Coturnix japonica: one gene and its partner. The protein of the gene in region 1 interacts with the protein of each later gene in a pairwise test. Links are inferred from orthologs where the notes say so. Each region holds a gene or a part of one and is shown on either strand. Other genes may lie near its edges.

Region 1 (10,389 bases):
AGTGCAGGAAGTCCTGCTAAGCACCATACCCACACACACAGATACATGCATTGTCTCTAACTCAGAGCACAAATAAATGAAGCCTATCTCAATACAAATACTTACAAACTGGAATTCAGTGGCTGCTCCAGCACCGGCCTCAGCCTTCTTGTCAGCACCAGCTGATGAGAGAAATGACTGAGTTACAAACCAAAGAATCCACTCACCAAGTGGAGAATGACACAATACTGAGGGCTACCCATCCAGGTGGGTATCCAGTATCTCCAGTAAAGGAGACTCCACAGACTCTTTGGGAGCTTTGTTTTAGGGCACAGACACCCCTAAAGAAAAGCTTTTCCTTGCATTCAGATGGAACTTCCCATGTTCCAGTTTGTGCCCCTGGTTCTGCCTCTGGGCACCACCAAAGGGAGCCTGGCCCCAGCCTGCAATGCCCCAGCAGACCTTGATAGTTTAAAAGAAGAATGATACCCACAGCAGGGAAAAATGAACTCTGCCATGGAAATGCCTACACTCTGCCCATAGCCTCATGTCCCCCTTTTCTTTTCAAAAGGAGGTAAATGCTGAAGACGATCTTCCCAAAGAGAGAAGCTGCACAAAGAATAAGCTCAGCCTGACGCACAGCAAAGACACTCACGTGGAACAGCGCTGCGTCTGTACGTATCCCTGTCAGCTTCTCCCCGAGTGAGACGTGCAGGGCGCTCACCCTCCAAACCTGTAAGCAAAAACAGGGACATCAGGGGACACAAATGGCAGATTTCAGGCATGACCCTACACCTGGTGGCGATCCCTCCAGCCAGGCATTACAGCCCTTTACACAGCTCAGTGGATGTAAGCTTACCTGGACAATCAATACAGCAAGGAACACTTCACCTCAAGGGTACAATCTGCTACAGCTTGTGCTTGGAGTGAACTCATCAACAGTGTAAAAACTGAATGTACAGCATCCAACACAGCTACAACTATCCCAAGGACCAATAATTACTATAAAAAGCCAGGAGTGCAGGGAATCTGTCACAATTGGCAGGGCTGTACTTCACTGTGTCACAACCTGCACGGCATTCTGAGCCCCATCTAAAGTACTACTATCAGTATTACAAATCCTCTGCAGCAGAATAGATTAATAAAGCTAAGAGCAGATTATCTATGTAACATCAGATTAAAATTGGACAGAATACTTGCAGGAAAGAAACGGACGCGGTGGAACTGCCTGTTTCTGTGCAACTCATGGATTTCCCCCACAATATCAAAGATTAAATGTTCTCCCACAGCATCAGACCAAGGTCTCGATGCTCAGGCAGTAAGACACAGCTATGGCCAGATGTGATACTGAACTCTGCTTTAGACTCAATGTTCCAGCCTGTTTACCAAAGTGTCACTTGAGAAAGTTGGGAGCATTGCATGAAAGCACCAAAAAAGACAAATTTTAGCCATGGAACTACAAAAGCTTTCATCAGATCCGCAGTCACTCCAGCTCTCTGGATAAACACAGCTTACACTGGGTAACACCCAAAGCTGAGAGATCAAAGAAACCTCCTCACCACAACATGCCCACAGCCTCCATCCTGATCACAGGGCCCAGAACCTGCTGACTGGGCTACCAGCTTCATCCCAGGTACCAGAGAATTGTCCAGCACCAAAGCTCAGCCCTCATTCTTCATCACTGAACCTCACAGCCCAGCCTGGCTGCTGTTTGTTCCCTACAATGGCAACCCTGGCCTCCCAAGGAGCTTTTCTATGGATACTTCTAGTAGAGCCAAGGTTCTCTGTATCTGCTGGACTGACAGAGAACACACACGCCATCTTCCTGATGGAGAACTGCAGTGGTCTGTGTGCTCTGCCCTTTGAAAGCTCCAGCCACCACCTGTCCCCTCGATCCACAGCCTGCAGTGTCAATGGGCCGGATCTCAGAGGCTCCACTCCCTTGTGTTACCAGCAGGAAAGCTCTGTGTGCTTCCCTCACTCACAACTTTCTTTAGCCACCTCCAAATCTTCAGTACTCCAGTATTAGTGCCAAATATAAACACAACTAAACCCATAACGACGCATCATCTATTAGTTTATACATCCACCTGACTAACCTCACCTACATTGTCTAACACACACAACCCTCACCCTCTGCTTCCTTCTGCTGCCACTTCCCAACCCCATTTTACCTTTGGGCCGTGGTCTGCCGGTCTCGGGGCGGCTGCGGCGCAGGGTTGCAGGGACGATCTCAGGGGGAAGGTGCAGGTAATCGCGCAGGTACTGGATGCCCTCGTTGGTCAGGTACCAGTAGAAATGCCTCCAAGCAAATTGCTCTTTCACATAACCACGGGATTTCAGAGACTGGAGAGAGAATTCTCAGTTACGTCAGGTTTATCAGAGACATGGGGCAATAATCTAAGTGCACATGCAGGAAATATAATGATACCACATACAAATGCATCAGAGCTTGAAGAAAAGAGCTAGAGATGTGGATCACACCAAAAGTCTTCAACAGACTGTGGAGAACAGATCAAGTAAATAGTGGGACTATTGGAATAGGAAAGAAATGATGACTATAACAATGTTATTTGGTAACAAGCAGCAACATTTACCCACAGGTATCTGCTATACACAGTATCTTATGGCCCAGACCCAGCATTTCGCCCTCACCTCCGTACCTGCATGGCTTTCATCACATGGAGATTGGGCACATTCTTATCGACGAGCTCCGGGTGTTTCGGCATGTGGACGTCTTTCTTGGCCACCATCACTCCCTCCTTAAAGAGGAGCTCGTAGATGGCAATTCTGTTCTTCTTGGGCATCAACATCTAAAGGACAAACAGCACTAAATCCTGCCTATTCCCAATGAATCACAACTCCCGGCCCTTAGCGCCCCGCGGCCCACCCTGCCGGCCTAAGGCCTCCCGCGGCCTACTGCGGCCTACTGCCCCCCCAGGCCTTCCGCCTCGCCATCCCGGGCCCAGATCCCCCCGATCCCGGAAATATCGCCGCGGATGGGCCGGGCCTGATCTCCCCCGTTCTGTCCCGGTGCTGCCTCACGGCTCCGCCCGCGGATGGAGCCGATACAAGCCCGATCCGAGCCCGATGTAGGCCCGGAGCGCTGCCTCACCGTGACAGTCTCAGCGGGGCCGAGAGCGGAAAGGAACACGCATGCGCCGCGCTCTCACTTCCGGCCTCCCGAAGGCCCCCCCAAGCGCTGAGGGTGTCCACCGCGCTGCCTGTAGCAAGGTGCGCAAGGCCCCCAGTCAGGTCACCGAGAAAGGTGTCCGTAGTGATGCCTGATAGGAATTAGCCCTTTAACCTCAGCATCCCTGACATTAAATGGGCGCTGGGGCAGCCATGGAGCTCAGCTCCATCCCCTGCAGCTCCCACATGTGTCACACAGCAATGGGATTTACAGTGCTGATGGCTGGGATCATCCCCCGTGGATTAGCACAGGGCTCAGGCCATACTATGGGGCTGGTGGCACAGGGGGGACCAGGAGCCACAGAGCAGGGCTTGGCCATGGCTTCCTATTGCTATGAGTACAGCAGTCACCGTGCATTCACCCTGACAGCAGCCCATGGCCTTCCCTGGGTGCCCCCATGCAGCCTCATAATGGGGACGAGCAGCCTTTGTATTCATACACATGGAGGACAGGGGATGTTCCAGCAGGGCTTTCCCTGCTGCTCTGTGTGCTCACATTGAGCCCTGCTGCCATCAGCCCTTACTGCAGGCAGAGCCGTGAGGAGCTGGTCAGTCAGTGCTGCCCTTTGGAGCCGGGCTGTAAAGCTCTGGCTGGGATCCCAGGGAGCAAAATGAGTGTGTAAGTGAGTTCCACCCACGCTGCTCCCTGCAGAGCAAAGGGCTCGTGGTTCCAGCACAACGAGCTCCCAGCAGCTCCTTGTGCTGGGATCTGGGGCTCCAGCACACACAGCTCCGCTCACACCACGCTGCTCAGCACAACACTAACACTCTCTGATCCCACTGTGTTCCCTTGGTCCTGGATGGGGTTTGCTGAGGGCAGAGGCAGAGCAGGATGGCAGGACGCAGGCTGTGTCCCATACCCCACACAGCACCCAGCACTTAAGGCTGCTTGGAGGTCTCAGCACCCCAGGGGAGATGGGTGGAGGCTCCATTAGGTGCATCCCTCCATCAGACCAGGGGGCAACCTCAGGTCTGCCCACATCACACAGGGAGAAGGGAAGGAACAGGGGCTGTGAGCCATAGGATGGAGGAGAAGGAAAGAGCGTGGGGAGGTGTCAGCTCACAGCACAGTGTGCAATGAGGCTGAGGACCCCCCCGCAGCCACCCGAGCTTATTCTTCGCTGCTCCTGCGGTAACGTTTTCACCTTGTGCTGCGAAGGAGTCATTATGCCGAGCCGGGGTGGCGATTGGCTGGCTAAAAATGCCTCTGTAATCTCCGTGCTGATCTTTACCCCCTCCTCCCCATCTGCCGTGACCTTCCTCCCAATGTGCAGAACCAGCCCGAGTGAGACGGAGCCTCTGGGTTCCCAGCCATCACCCCGGCCACCCCCAGTGCCGCCCAGCATCCGCAGCCCAGCGCCCTCCCCGTGCCCTCCCATGGGCCCTGCAGCCTTTTGCCCAAGGTACCGACGCGTCCCCGGGGCTCCCGGCATGTTCTGGCTCCAGATGTTGGCAGTGGGGGGCTCCCGGTGGGCGGTGGGTGATGGGGATGGTGGTGGCCCTGCTGTATGGATGGGACGCTTGGTATCGGCGTGTTGCTGTGCACCCTGGTGGAGGTGTCAGCCCTGTAATGCTCCTGGACCTGGGAGGTGAGATTCTGGCATAGCAGCTCAGTGCTGCCTGGTTTATGACATTGCCAAACTTCTCTAGGACTGGGGATTGCTTACTATCTTGTGCCTGAGCTCGGGGGGCTGCTGTCAGGTGGGTCTCATCTGAGGTTCTGTGGCATCTCGTGGCTCGCCCCCGCTCTATACGTTATGCAAAAGCTGCATCAGCTCAATAACAGCCCCAGGAGTGCCCCAAGGCCAGGCTCACTCTGTCAGCTGGGGGCTGGCACCATTGTGCTGCTCCATGGAGAACCCGCAGAGCATCCCGCACCAGGAACGGGGTCCCTCCAGCTCCCCACAATGGATAAAAGAGGGCTGGGAGCCAAAAAGCCGCCCTGAACAGCCTGCAATTGTCAGGGCTGTCAGCGCTGAGCAAACGGAACGATTGTGCTCATCTTCCCTCTGCCTCCTTGCTGTGCGCTTGGCATCCTCTGACTTGCCCGGTGAGAAATTCAGGATCCTCAGCACTGGGTGCAAAGAATTGCTCCTTTAGAAGAACCAGGATGGGTCACCGATAGGACGAGGAGGGGAAAAGCAGACCCAGGGATGCAGCAATGACTGCAGGGGAGAAACGCATCTCCTGGCCCCACGCCCTGACCAGGATTGCTGCCCTTGTCCTTCCCATCCCGCTGCTCTGCACACATCTCCTCTCTGCCATTCTTGCTCCTTGCTCACAAACAGCCAAGCAAGCACTTTGCTAAACGGATTAGAGCTGTGCTCCTCCTGCAGCCTCCCCGAGCTGCTCCCGCTGGGTGCTGCATTGCCACAGATCACAGATATGGGACACAGCAGTTCCTGCACTATGGGCTGCCCCTGAGCTGTGGGGCACGGTGACCTTACACTGAGATGTGGCTCCTGCAGCTGGGGGCTCACAAGGCAACAAACAACCCCATGCAGCAGTTCTGGGTAGGCAGGACTATGGTGGCACTGCTGGTGGTGAGGATGTGTTGTATCCCCACTCCTCCTCAGCTCAGGGATGAGAGCTGGAAAAGGGAGAGGAGAGGCTTGGGAAGGAGATTAACGCTGCAAAGGGGAATTTATCAGTGGCTGAATGCCAGGGCTGCTGCTGACAGCACTGAGCCTGTTCTGGGTGCTCGCAGCCGTGTCCCCATCCCCTCCTGCCCCTCTTGGCCATCGCTGCCTCTTCCTGTGTGGGATGGATTTAACTAAAGGGATTGAGGAAAGGCAGCCCGGGTGGCTGCAGGAGCCTCACGTGCAGCTCTGCCCCATGGACAGACTTTGTCCCCGGTGGGGCAGCGAGCAGGGCAGTGCTTGTGCAACGGCATGAAGGCAAATAGAGGAGCCTTGGAGAAGGCACTTCCCCTATGGGGCACAGCAGCAGGGGGGAAAGGAGGCAGCGACCCCAACATTGCCATGGCTGTGAGCAATAGGGACACGCTGCTCCCAGCTGCTGCCCACAGCAGACCCCACACACAGGCATTTTCCCAATAAAAAGGAGCCTTTATGTCCCGGCCCCTGCCCCGGAAGGGGCTCACAGGCCGCCTTGGGGCTGGGTATGGGCAGACAAAAAGGGGATTGTTGTGGTGGGAGCTGGGCTGCTGGCAGCACCTGCCCCACGTCGGGGGCCCTTCACAATGACCGGCTTTCTGCATAACTGCTGCAGAGGGGCCAATTATCCTCCGATGCTAATTAGAGATGCAAAATAGCCTCGTGTTTGCATTCTCCCAGCAAGCCGGAGTGTTCCTGGGACCTGCAGCACATCTGTAGCTGATGCAGGGCACAAACATGGGGCTGCTGCACCAGCAGTGCAGTCAGGATGATTTGCTTCTCAGTTCACCGTGGTGCTCGAAGAATCTTAATTTCAGAGTGCCAAGAAGCCACATAAATCAAGGCTAATTTCCTGCCAATACTGCCCGCTGCTTCCCATGGGGAAACTCATTTTATTGAAGGGGGAAATGAGTTATTGCAGGAAATAGTGACCGCTGGGATGGTGCACAATGGGGGAGGGTTTGTCATGGCCTTGTTTGTGCCACAGCATCCAGCTGGCACTCACTGCAGGGCTCTGAACTGCAGGGCTCCATGTATCACAGGGTCACTGGAATCCCCCACCACCCCCCAGTGTTTAATGCCAAGAGCATTTGCTCCCCTGTGCCCAGATGCTGCCGGGGCTGAGGACCCTGAAATGGCAAAAAGCAAAGACCAAATGATGCTGCAGGAGCCTGAGCCCCCCCGCTCTGTGTTGGGGCAGCATTATTTCACCTGGGTCTCACGCTGCCTCCTCCCCTGCAGCCAGCACAGAGCCCTGAAATATTTCAGGACCTTTCTGGCTTGCTAAAGGTTGGAAGACGTGCTCAGATGGCACACAGACCCACCAAGCTTCATTAAGGAATGGAAGGCGCTCATTAGGGGAAAGCTGATCCAGGCTGAGCCTCATGGGAGCGGGTTGCATTCTGTGGGCAACCCGATCTGGGCAGCTGCAGCCCGACAAGCAGCCAGCCTCATTACTGCAGCTCCTGTGGGCGGCTTCGGTTACTCAGCCCGAGCCGTTCGTCTCCTGCCAGCTTTGAATTTCCCTGACATCACCCCGAGCTGGGGGAAAACGCAGGCAATGGGGAGTGGGAGAGCCCACCCGCACCATGGCTCCAGCTGCTGCTGCCCATAGGGCTCACGGATGTGGCACAATGGGATGAATGCCCAGACACAACCCTGGGGTTTGGGAGGAGGCACTGCCTGGCTCCATGGCCTTGGAGCAGCAGCTCATGGGGTGCAGCAGCTCATGGGGTGCAGCTACTCTGCCCCTTCCCCATCCCATGTTTCTATGTAGCTCTTGCACCAGCTCCTTCCCTGCTGGCACATTTGGCAGCGAGGCGGCACCAGCTGCATCTCCAAAGGTGTTCTGGGGTGTTTGTTTCTATAAGAGCTCAGCCATGAAACCCTCCCCACTGCACCAGGGGGAGGAGTGGAGGGAGAGCTCTGCTCCATCCCATCCTGCTGCCCTGCACCTGCTGCATGAGGATCCCAAGGATCCCAAGGACAGAGCAACACTGCAGCACAGCTGGAGGCTGATAAGAACTTGTTCCCAGCCCTCCTGGAGCCCTGCAGCACCAATGGGACCGGACACAAGGTGCTGCTGTGTGCCCCCATAGCCCAGCACCCACTGTGCCCCAGGAGCACATCACCTTGCACTGTGACGAGTGTGTGCTGAGCACCCTACAGCCCCAGGTGTGCACACAAGGCGCAGCAAACACCTGCCCTTCCTGCTTCCTAAGAAACCTGATGCCGAGGCATGTGGATATTGGGGGGAAGGGGGGGGTCCACATCCTCCCTGGATGGTTTTTGCAACCTTTTAAGCATCGGCTCCATCCCTGGTTGCCTTGACGACTGCAGGCTGCAGGCTGGGCGCGCTCCCGTGGCCGTGCACGGTGCTGCTGCCCGGCTGGTGCTGAGCGCAGCGCAACGCAGCGTCCCAACGAACCCCCCCGAGCCCCCTGCAGCCACACAGCCCGGCCCAGGTAAGAGGCAGCCCCTGCGGTGCTTCACTGCAGGGAGCCTGGGGACGGACGGGGGACAGGCAGGGGGATGGAGCTGCGGGATGCTTGGGGTGCCTTGTGTGCATGGGGGGGTCAGGGGGGTGTTGCGAGGAGCTGGTTTATGTTCACCCCCCAGGGCAGGGTATGATGTACCTGATCATCAATGTGAGCTGGGGGGATGCACACGTGACCTTCAGTTCCCCTGTGTGTCCGTGATGGTGCTGGGGCTGTGACCCTGCTGCGCTACCAGGGACGTGCCTCAGTTTCCCCGGCTGCTCCAATGGTCCGGAGGGATGAGGACTCGTGTTGCCCCCACCATCACTGTCTCCTTGCCCAGATGAGCCCCTCACCCTGTTGCTGAACCCCTCCTTTAATTGCCTTCCCCCCAGCTTCTCCCTGTTTCCTTCCCCCTCACTGAGACCCCCACCCATACCCAAGTCTCTTCCCCCACCACTAACAGCCAAACCCCAGGCACCTGGCAGCCCCATGGCAGCCCCATGGCAGCCCCATGGCAGCCCCGTTCCACTTCCATCACTGCCAGCCCTTGGCAGGAGGAGGGGGATGCCAGCCCTGGATGGGACCCCCCCTCAAGCACACATTGCTCTGCCTCCCCCGTCCCTCATATGGAAGCAAGGGGTCAGCACCCCCACATCCTCCAGCACTTCTCGGCTTAATTGCAAAGCACATATTTGGATTTCCATCTCAACCCCACTCCTGGGACTGCAAAAATCCCTACTCAAGAGGCAGAGCATCCTTGTTTACAGCAGCGAGCTAAGAAGGCAGGCTGAGAAGAGCCGCAGAGCTGCAAGGCAAGTTGGAACCCCAGCAACTGAGGCTCAGAGCAGTTTCCCTTCCCCAGGCCTGAGCACATTATGGGGCTGACAATCCTGCTCCAGATCTCCACTGGTGTCTATCCACATTCCTGGCACATCCGCTGTACCTGTTCTGGCTGCAAGCTCCCCCGGAGAGAAACACTGCTGTTATCTGCAAATGCCATGCATAACTTCCAGAAATCTGAGCAAGGCTTGTAAAATCCCTTGGAAGACTTTGATGGGTGTCCTGCGTGCTCAGCCAGATAACGCTGGGGAGAGGAGGAGGAATATTTCTGCACACAGAGCACACAGAATGTGAAGCTGATTGCTGCCAGGTCCTGGAGCAAAAAGCACTGCCCTGGTGATGCAATGTGGCAGCACTGGCAGCACGCAGCCCCATCCCAGCCCCATCCCAGCCCCATCCCAGCCCCATCCCAGCCAGGTGGGCTCCCTGCTGTCCACAAATGGGACGTGGGGCTCTTGTAGCAATCCTGTTCCAATGAACCTCCTTTACAAATGCTCCTGTTTGGAGGAAGCTGCAGGTCTGCTCGCTGGACCCGTCCCCTCCTGTCCTTGCTCCCCCTGGGCTGGGACAAGGCGCTGCCATGGGCACGTCCTGCACAGGGCTCAGTGGAACAGAACCTCAGAAGTTCCCAGCATTACCCACACATCGCCCCATGGATGTGCTGTGTGCGTTACCCCCCAGCCAGCCCCACAGCACTGCCATGTCTGGAACCCCATAGAGAAGCACCCTGTGTCCATTCCTTGGTGCAATGAGTGTGCATGAGGTGGGGCCCTGCTCTTGGCACTGCTGTTCTGTTTGTCTTCAGCTACAGTGGTTTTCATGTGGCACCGAGGCCACCAGTGCTGCACCCACCATTTGCAATTAGCAGCAATAGGGGTGAGGATATCAGCTGCCTGCAGCCAAATTGGGGCTGCTGAAATGCAGCCTGAATCCCTCCCAGTACAGCCCTACATGCACCCCCAGGCTCCTTGCAGGAGGAAACCAAAATGCAGCACCTATTTCACATTACAGCTGCTTGGAAGGGTGTTCTGTGACAAGCCAGGACCCTGCGTTTAATTGCAATAAGACCAGCCCAGACAATTAGCTCATTTTGAATTGCCAGGGCTCTCTGCTGTACTGATGGCCCTGCTGGGAGCCACCAAGGAGCTACATGACAACAGCACGCAGCACATTGCATCCTGCCCTGCTCACGTGCTCCTGCAGATGAGGTCCTCGGGCAGCACTGAGGGGCTGCATCAGGGCTGGGACACTTTGCAGGAGGGTTTGGCACTAAGGCTAATCCT
Region 2 (9,891 bases), on another chromosome or scaffold:
CTAGTAACAGTCACAGACTTATAACTGCTAGTAGAAACTAACTCTAAGTAAGTCTGATACTCTGCTGACAATGCAGTAGAGAGAGAACTTTATAAATATGTAGGTTTGCTTATTGTTTTTATTGTTGTTTGGAATTGTATATTTGTAGTTTAGATTTGGAAGTGATCCTAGCATGTCCAAAGGGATGGACTTCGATGAAAGTCAGTATGATCTCCTACCCACCCAAACTTAGTTCTCATCCCATCAGTGTAGAAATATAAACTTCACCTTTGTTATGCTTCTTCAGAGCAAGAATGACAGAGATAACTGCATTGACTAGGCACAAAGCCATAGCAACTCCAGAATTATTCTGTTTGTCTTGTTAGAAGTCCTGGCTGTGCTTTATTATAAAAGTCAAGATTCCATGAAGTATTAGACTGAAGGTCTTAGTCTTTGTTCTGTGGTTCCAATAACATGTCGGTTATTGATGGCTCGAGCATCTAGGAACTAACCTGAACCTCTCAGATGCTGCAAGGCCACTTATCAATTGTAATAGTTTTCACTCATTTTCAAGCATAGTAGTTGTCACCTGTGAGGAAGATGTGGTCTTGTAGGTTAGTCTCAGCACATTTGATGTTTGCCAGTATTCTGCTGTCACTGAAATCTCCCAGGACATTTGGCTGCTTGTATGATTTTACCCCAATTTAGAGATCAAATACTTGTGGGTGAGGGAGGGAGGAAGAGAAAAGGGCCTTGGTGGTTATGAAGTCTAAGGAATCAAATCCCTTTGATATATAAGCACATGTGCTTAAGTAATGTGGAAGGAGGTTCACCTGCACCGTTTTGCAATCTTGCTCCTCTTTCCTTGGAGATCGAGATTACTTCTACGCTCAGCTCCATGACTTAGTGATGACAGTGCCTAGTCTGCAGCTGCAAAGCATTATCACAAAAGAGCACTGTGAAAAACTAACTAGAATTAAATAGTAAATTTTTCTTACTTTAGTAGTTGCTCTGCAGCTGTGAATGAGTTCAGTAATGCTATTACTGAAAATTAATTACTGAGAAACAAAAAGTGCTTTTGTTCTCAGTGAAGAGTTTCTCTGAATCACGAACAGTTCTGTTTTTATTTTCTTTCTTTAGTGATACTTCTGTAGAAGTAATGGGTCTGCTGCAGGATAATATTTTGTACAGTAAAATCTGTTTAGGATGTTTCTTATTAAAGAAATATGCTCTGGGTTCTGCCCATTTCCAGGATTGCTTGCTTCAAGCTAGTACTTTATTTTCAGTCTTAGCCTTTTTGTTTAGAGTTGGATTGCGCTTTGAAACTTGCTGATTCAGCCCACTGCAAGGCCTGTACCTTGTATTGATGGATGCAAAGCTAACAGAAATACTCTGCTCAGATCAGAATACACTGATCATATGAGCTTCTGTTATTTCCAGTAGCTTTCCCTGTCACCATATTGCCCTATATAGATGAAATTATTGTTATGTTGTTTGTTTTGCAGAATGTGAGTTGCAAAGCTGAGAGGTTAATTGTATGGTCTACCCATTAATACTTGATAAATGTGAATCAGCATGTTGGTGTAGGAAGATTCCTGGCAGGAAAGTAAAGCCAGAGACAGTCCCTCCGGAAAGAAAAATACTGCGTTTATTAGTCTAACATCAGTTGCACTGTGTTGTGTATCCTAAACCAGAAACTAATCCTTTTTCATCATGGTCTAGCTGAAAATTCCATTATTTTTATGGATTAATGCTTTTCCATATATTTTTTCTTATATTTATTTATTTATTTATTTGCATGGGGCAGTTCACAAGACTCATCTAAATGTGTTTTGATATCCTTGGGATGACTATGGGAGAATTTTGATAGTGATGAACAGGCATGTTCAAAACATGGACTAAGTTCTCTAATGTACTTACTGTGATATAAACGATTCCTTTATTTTAAACCTCACTCGAGAGCTAATGAAGGTTGTTAGAAATCCAGGTGAAATAAACTGCGTGCCTTCATGATATTTGTTATGTGTATTTTTATCTATACTAATTCAGTTCTTGAATTAAGCAAAGGGAAACATCATACAGTAGTTACAGATGCAGAAATGGATGGACATTGGCATGACAATAAGCATAGAAAATACTATGAAATTGAAACTAATTCTTCTTTTTTTTCCCATCCCTCCCTATATTATGAAGAGGACCCTCAGTTTTCCTTCATGAAACTGCTTAGGCCGGCTTCACAGTCCCTTTTTAATCTATATGCTGAAGGTGTGTTTCCTTTTCTTTTTTTCTTTTCTTTGTGAGCTTAGGTGCCAGGACCTCAGAATACAGCCTGGAAGAAATTGATGAAAAGGAAGAGATGAGTGTGCAAGAGGGAGAGGAAAGTGGAAGTACAGATACCTCTCTCAGGACAGGGGAGGTTACTGCAGCCTTCAGCTCTACAGAGGTACCACTGGAAACTGAAAGAAATGATCGTGCTTCATCAGTTCCTGTTGCTGGCACTGTTTCTGTAGACAACTCACAAAGCTTCGAGGAAGAAAAACAAGAAAATATGAGCACAGATGGCAAGTAAGTACGCTTTGTGACAAAGAAAGGAGCACTGGAGAAGGAATGGGGGAGGCAAATAAAATGCAGGGTGCTGTTTCATTGTGGAGCATAAAATAGAGAATTGTAAGAAAGGAATGAGTTCAGTATGCTTAGCTTTTGTTGTAGCACATATCTGGACACAGTAACTCATGAAGCCTTTCAACATAAATGACAGAATATTCTGCTGGCTATTCTGGTTAGACCATTTTTTCTTACTACTGAAACATCCAGACTCCGGAAAAGCTGAACCCATCTCTAAAACATCTAGCACTATTACTAGAACACTTTGCTGAGGAGGGGAAGGGAATAGGGTGGAGGGGAATGAAGTGAGTTAGTTATCGTTTAAAAGCTCATTCATATAGTTGGAGGAAAACAGGTATATTTGCTATGCTGATCAATTGCTCATCTGTTATCTTGCTCTATATTTTTGGTTTTTTCTTCGTATGTTAGCCACTTGTCTTGACCTATTTTGATGCGTCTGCTCCCAGGAAAAACAAGAATTGACACATTGTTTTCCTTAACCACACTTTTTTGGTGATGCTCTAACTTTGCCCTGCAGCATTTTTATTAAACCACTTTCTAATTTGCAGGTTCCCAACATGAGTTACTGCCTGGTTCAAGTCAATGTTGATTGTCCTGGGAGGTCCCCTTGTGTTAATGTAATTCACTATTTATGTGCTCTGTGGGGCAGCTGAACTTGCTAATGTTCCTGATTTAAATTGCAAGAGTTATTTCAATTATTATACTAAAACCAAAATGTGTGAATGCTACAGTAGCTAAAAACGTTGAAGGCAATATAGAGAGCTTAGAATTGCATTTCAAGGGTCTTTCTGTCAATTCAGAGCAAAGAAGGTCTTTGCAAATTCCTTGGTGTTCTGCCCCTCAGTACTGTGTCAGTTGCTTGGGTGTGTCTGCTCTGTGAGGAACTGTGTGGGGGTGCCTCAGCAAAGTTCTCTCAGATTTGCAAATTATCAGACTTGTGTTACCGTGCCAGTTTGGACAGCAGTCATGGGGATATTTCCTCACTGCTCTCCCCTGACTTGTAACAGCCTCTTGTGGCCTGTAATACTGGTGTATCATCTAGTATGCACTGTACCATAATTTCAAAGTTTAGAAATCCCTTCCTTCGTGAAATATCGCAGTGATGAGAATGAGAGCTAGAGGGTTTCTCTGACATTTGTTTATGAAAATCTTCTGGTGATTCAGATTTTTCTAAGATAGGTCTGGTGGCTCTGATACTCTGGCACTTTGTGACATTTTCTTTCTTTTTTTGGTTTGTTTTTAAACAGTTCAGCCCATTGCAAATGGTTTTCATTCAGTCCCTTAGCTCTGTTTGAGGGAGTGAATATAGGCAAGAGTACAGAGGGCAGGACTGAGCTTTAACATTCTTCCAGCAAATTTTGAAAGCTTCTGTTTTAGCAGTTGTTGGACACTTACCATATGTCTTAGACTGTACAGGCAACGTGAGGATGGGTTATTCATTATTTAAAATGATTCAAAGCAGATGCTTCGTTTCATGGCAGTGATTCCTAATGATAACTAAAACATTGGATGTGGCAAATGAATTGGAATCTTCATAGTGACAGTATTAGTTACTACGGAAAATAAAAGTATCACTGAGATAGAAGGCTGAAGTTCTGATAGTTTTGTTTTTTTTTTTAAATGAGAAATGTTAAATATGTTGGCATTTTTCACTTAAATTTTGAAGTCAAATACTTAATATTTCCTGAAAACAGAGGAGAGTTTTTTCAGTACTTATATAGTTCTTTTGTCCCCTCTGATCATAGGACAAACACTGTATGCATTTGCAAAATGTTTAGTATGCAAGTAACACATTTTATGCATATATCTTTGCTGTTCTCAAGATATTTCATGAAACGGAAAGAACATCTTTCATTAGTATTTCAAAAAGTCTGTACTGCGCAGTTCATATGCAGCTGGTGTCTCATGCTGCTCCCTGCAGATTATGCTGGAGACAAAAATCAAAGACGTTGTAAATGTTGGAGGATGTCATAAGACTTCACACTGAGAATGTTGTTAAGGAATGATAAGCCATTGCCTGAGTGATTCACTGAAACTTGAGTTTTAAGAATGGGGCTTGTTCAGAGTGCACGAATAAACAAAAAAAAAAAAAAAAAAGAGGAAAAGGAAAATGGATCACGTTATGTGTACATAAGAGTGAAGCTGAATGTCATTTTGGTAAAATATCATAGCAGCATTTCCTCTCATTTAAAAAAAAATGTATTTTGTTTAGTACTCCAGTGTTTGGCAGAATGATTTCTCCATCTGTGTTTGGAGAACATTGCCAGTTCTCTTGCATCTTTTCTTCTGTTTACTGAAATGAATGATACCAACATATTTAATGTACTGTTGTGCTTTGCAGAGAACTACAGACTCAGATAAGCAGTGACCAAGATGCATTTGAGAAAGACAGGAAGCTTAGAATTTTGGAACAAAATAAAAATCATGGTGAGTAGTTCCCACTCATTTTGTTGAAGAAAAAAGACAACTAAAATGCTGTCACCTCTTGAATTGTGATTATCAGATTATTTTCTTTATACTTTCTGTGCCTTTGGTGTATCCCAACTTGAGATGAGGTGACAAGAATTGGTTGCATTTTTGTTGTTGTAAAGTTAACAAAACACTTGTGATATTAAAAGCATGGAACAGAAGCCACAAAGATGGAAGTAAACAAAAATTGCTTCTAACTTAATACTGAATAGACTGAACAGAGTTTACCTTACTGGTTCCTATTATAATCAACTGAAATTTCTTAGCACTGAAATGATTCAGTAGTAGCTTGTTATTAATTCATGCATGACACCAGAAGGCTGATAATGAAGAATATCTGTGTAAGAAGAGAGTTATTCAGTAATATTAGGTAAATATAACTATAGTTTTTAAAATAAGTGTTAAGGAAAATAATAATAACAGTGAGGAGCTAGTCCTTGTCATTACATTTGTTGGATGTTTAGAACTTAGTGATATTAATGGGAAGGTTAAACCTTTTTGGCATTTGTATTAATTTCTGGAATCTCTTTTTTGAAAGATCACAGTAGCAGAACACTCCTCCCAACAAATGAAGATGCGGGAGAAAAGCAGACAGCAAAAATTAAAGCAGAAGATTTTAGCGAAAACAGCAAGCTTGAAGCTGACAGACTATCAAACTGCCAAGCATCTAAAAATGACATTGCCATAAGTCATAGCAATTACACTCAAATGATTCCAGGAAAGCAAGATCAGAAAACAAGTCAAACCAGCCTGGACACTGTAAAAACTCATGATGTTGCAATTCAGACAGGTCCATTGGTTAGCAATTTGGGAAGGACTGAAAAGAAAGAAATGATTGTTCCTCAAGACTATGAATCATCCACATTCAAAAGAATGGTCCATCAACACAATACAGACACAAACAACCCTGGTCTTCGGGTGATGCAAGGAATACATAAGGATGAAGAAACTTCAACAGAACAAAATCTTCAGAGGCAAGAAGTTTCATATGAGAAAGCAATACCCATGAAAGATGAAATTCATATTTGTACAAATGGCAGTAATGTTACTTCACTAGAAACGATTGCAAAAACTCCAGAAGGGTCTCCTATAAGGGGTTACCCTCTTTATAGGCAGGACATGAAACCTAAACTGAAGCCTGCTAATGAAATTACAAGAGATTACATACCAAAAATTGGAATGACTACTTATAAAATTGTGCCTCCTCCAAAATCCTTGGAAACAATGAAGAGCTGGGAATCAGATGTTTCAGATAGTAAGGCTCAAGAGGTATCTGCTTCCAAAAACACTCTGGAGTATGAAGACCCCAAAGAATTAATAATGCAAACTGAAATTCCTCATCTTCCCAAAAGTACAGGTCACTTACAGACTGGTTTGCAAAATATACCCACTGCAAAAAATGATCTGCTGCACAGAATGCAGAGCACTTCTGAACATGGGGTGCCATCTGGAACCAGGGTTACCTCCGAGGTCAATCAAATAGAGACAGTATCATCGAAGCAGCTTGTCCCACCAGTGCTAACCTTAAGTAATACAAATGCTTCTTCTGAGACTCAGGAGAAGTCAAATGCTCTAAGTCCTACAACAGCTAAGCCTAGTTCGTTTTATCTGCAAATGCAGCGAAGAGTTTCAGGTCACTATGTGTCATCTGCAATTGCCAGGAATACCATCTGTGCTCCTAATTCCATTCAAAGTGAAGTTAAAAATACAGAGTTAGAAAAAAAAATCTCATCACCTGATGAAACTGCATTACTTACTACAAGTAGCTCCTCTCTGCCAGTAGAAGACAAAGATAATGATGGGAAAAGAACTGAATCTTCCACTTCTCCTGTTAAAAACAATAAACCACCAAGTTCTCCCTCCTGTCAGCCAGCACCGTTGAACCTAAGAACTCTAAGAACTTTTGCAGTTCCAAAGCCATACTCCAGTTCGAGGCCATCCCCTTTTGCACTTGCTGTCTCCTCAGCTGTCAAAAGATCACAGTCATTCAATAAAACGCGTACAGTCTCTAGCCTGGCACCAAGAGAAGAATGTCCTGTTGAACTCTCATCTGCTTCTTCTGCAGCTGAATCCTCCTCAGCTACCTCCATGCCTCAGGTGAAAACCCCTTCCTTACACAGTGTCATCGGAGGGCCACAAAATAGTCTGATGGATAAGGTAAAGTTTATTAATAATATTTTTTTTATCTTTGATCTGCTGTGATGTCATCATCAGCAGAGCAGTGACTTTGGCTTCTTTCTGAACTGTTTGCTTATCAGAAAGTTCTGTATTGATACAGTGTAAACTACCTCTGTGAATGTGTAGATGGAACTATATTATAATTTAGAGAGCTGTTTCAAGCGGTTCTGGGAGCTTGGCATATCCATATGTCTGTGATGTGTAGATGCTGGCTGTCTTGCATCTTCTGTACAGATCCGCAGTATTCTGACAAGCAGCAGTACTATCCAAAACTTTCTGTTTCTATTATGACTGTTTTCTTCAGGCATGGAAGTTAGAGGCTAATCTTTGGTTCAAAATACAGTAATGCTTCTCCTCCTTCCTGCTTGTGGTTCGGAATACTTTGACAGACTTTTCAGAGTGGCTTCTGGAATATTTTGTGTCAAATTTAGATTTCCATACAGATGCATTAGTAAAATAAATGTTGCGGCAATAACAAGATTTATCTGGGAATACTTTATAACTGATCTTTGTTAGATATTTCAGTTCTCAAGCAATGCTCAGTTATGCTACAATAGTTGGTGTCAAAGGACCTAAATTTAGATGGTGACATTTTGGAATAAAATCCAATCAAGTTGTCAGGGGGAAAAAAGCAAGCAAAAAACCTATGGATCTCAACCAGTTGTAACACTTGAATACTTTCCTGTTTACTTAAGATATAATTTCAAGTTATAAAATCATGAGGTTTTTGAGTGCTTGATTTATTATTTTTATACTTATATTTCCTTTTGAAATATGTTTTTTCCATATCATATCACTTTGTGGTATCACATACTCATCTTGGAGGAATTACTTTATCATTTTAGTAAGTTTCATAAGTTGCTTTTATATCTTTTTTGTTACTGATAAATTGAAGATCACTTCCCAAAGCTATAGTAGAAATGGGGCTTATACCTGAGATCTTGAACAAATCAAATTTTATAGTGGCACAGTCTGATATGTGACCTCCTGTGAGTTGACATAGTTTTTTCTTTGCTGCTAATTAGCTAATTAACATTAAAGGATTTTTGTTTATTTATTTGTTTTGTCCTTCTCACTTCCTTCGTTTCTAGAAAAGCAGCAATGTAAGCAACAGTGAGCAAAAGATTCAGGCACAGTCAGGTGCTTCAGCTGACCACCCACGCCCTATCATTATGAGACAAACCTCAACACCAGTCCAGCGCTCTGACCCAGAACAGATCCACCAGAGCTTGCTGGCCGCAATCCGCTCTGGAGAAGCTGCAGCCAGATTGAAAAGGGTGAGTTTTTGTCATTGCATCCATAACAATGAACTCATGATGCCTCCTTCAAAATTACCATATTAATGCCTGACACTAAATGCAGTCAGCTTGGACATGAAGTGCTATGTACTAGATATCCTAATGGGAAGGGAGGGAGGGAGGAAGTTCAGTTTTGCAGAATGAACTGATGAATGCATTTTTATTTGTACAGATTTGTATGTTCATATATGCAAATAGCACAAATACGTGGTGTTAAGCACATGCTAAGCATCTTCATCCTAGACTCAAATTAGCTGCAATCTTTTCTAGGTAGATAAATAGAAGTTTTGAATATTTATTTTCTTCTAGTTATTAGACTTTATCAGGTCCTTCATTCTTCATAAATGTATTTCAAGCCTCCTGCTTGGTATCATTAGTAAGATATTTTTCAGTGTTTTGTCAGTAGTCCTGGCAGGACTGTTCTCCTTCACTCTCTCAGGTAAAAAAAAAATTGATGCTTGGTTTTGGTCTCCTGAAATGCACTCTCACAGGGGAAAATAGTGCAGACTTTAAAAATCTGTTGTTTTAAATTTGAACCAGACAATTTAATGATAGTCTCACACAAAACTCTCTTGACTCAGCAGTAATATTTTGCATTCTATATTGAAGAATAATTTCTCATTGCAGAAACTTTAGAAACTCAGTAGGTTTTGTTTTTCTTCCTTTTTCCACTTGAAACTTGAATAAAAGCAAGTAAAGTGTTATGGGTGGATGTGAGGGTATTTTTAAATTGTCTTTAATGGAAATGTTTGATATCCCTTACAATCACAATATGTCAGTTGATGGGTAGACATTCGAATAGCCTTTTTTAAATATGTGAGGTTTTGATTCAGCGTTGCACTACAACAGCCTCTCTGAGACTTACGCATCTCCTGGTATTTCTATGCTGAATAGGAAAACTGTTTTCTGGAAAGGTTATAAAAATGCATAACTTGTCCACAACTAGGTAAGCATACTGAACTAGTAGTCAGTAAGAGTGGTACATAATGTGCCCTAGCATTGCTTCTAACTACTATGTATCACTAACCACAAGCCACTTTAAAAACATGTTAATGAAAATACAAAATGTAAGAAAATGTAACACAAGATAGGTGGGAAGGTTCAACCATACCACCACCATCTGCCTCTGATATTATGGGCTGATATAATAAAATTGGAGGCATTACTTTCAGAGCACCTCTTGTGGATGTATTTGCAAGTATTTTTATTAGGGTATTTTTCCAATACATAATTACATTGTGGGTAATACTTAATTTTATTTATTTTGCATAGTGTATGAACTTTCTTTTGTGATTCTATGGGAAATATCCATGGGCTACATGGTAACTTGCAAGTATTTTAT

The links.
Region 2: the proteins of PACSIN1 (region 1) and COBLL1 interact in binary tests that used the Homo sapiens proteins (3 or more experiments, as listed by UniProt). The link is inferred for Coturnix japonica from reciprocal best matches to the Homo sapiens genes PACSIN1 and COBLL1.

The regions. Positions count from the first base shown.
Region 1 is NC_029541.1:4,227,299-4,237,687, reverse strand, and holds the start of PACSIN1 (protein kinase C and casein kinase substrate in neurons protein 1), read left to right. Parts: upstream 1-4,435; 5' UTR 4,436-4,574; intron 4,575-8,128; exon of another isoform or gene 8,129-8,251; intron 8,252-10,389. Other genes in the region: RPS10 (40S ribosomal protein S10), read right to left, coding at 106-161, 635-712, 2,154-2,325, 2,643-2,792. UniProt on the Homo sapiens protein: Plays a role in the reorganization of the microtubule cytoskeleton via its interaction with MAPT; this decreases microtubule stability and inhibits MAPT-induced microtubule polymerization.
Region 2 is NC_029522.1:26,490,075-26,499,965, reverse strand, and holds part of COBLL1 (cordon-bleu protein-like 1), read left to right. Parts: intron 1-2,285; coding exon 2,286-2,544; intron 2,545-4,945; coding exon 4,946-5,031; intron 5,032-5,611; coding exon 5,612-7,230; intron 7,231-8,342; coding exon 8,343-8,528; intron 8,529-9,891.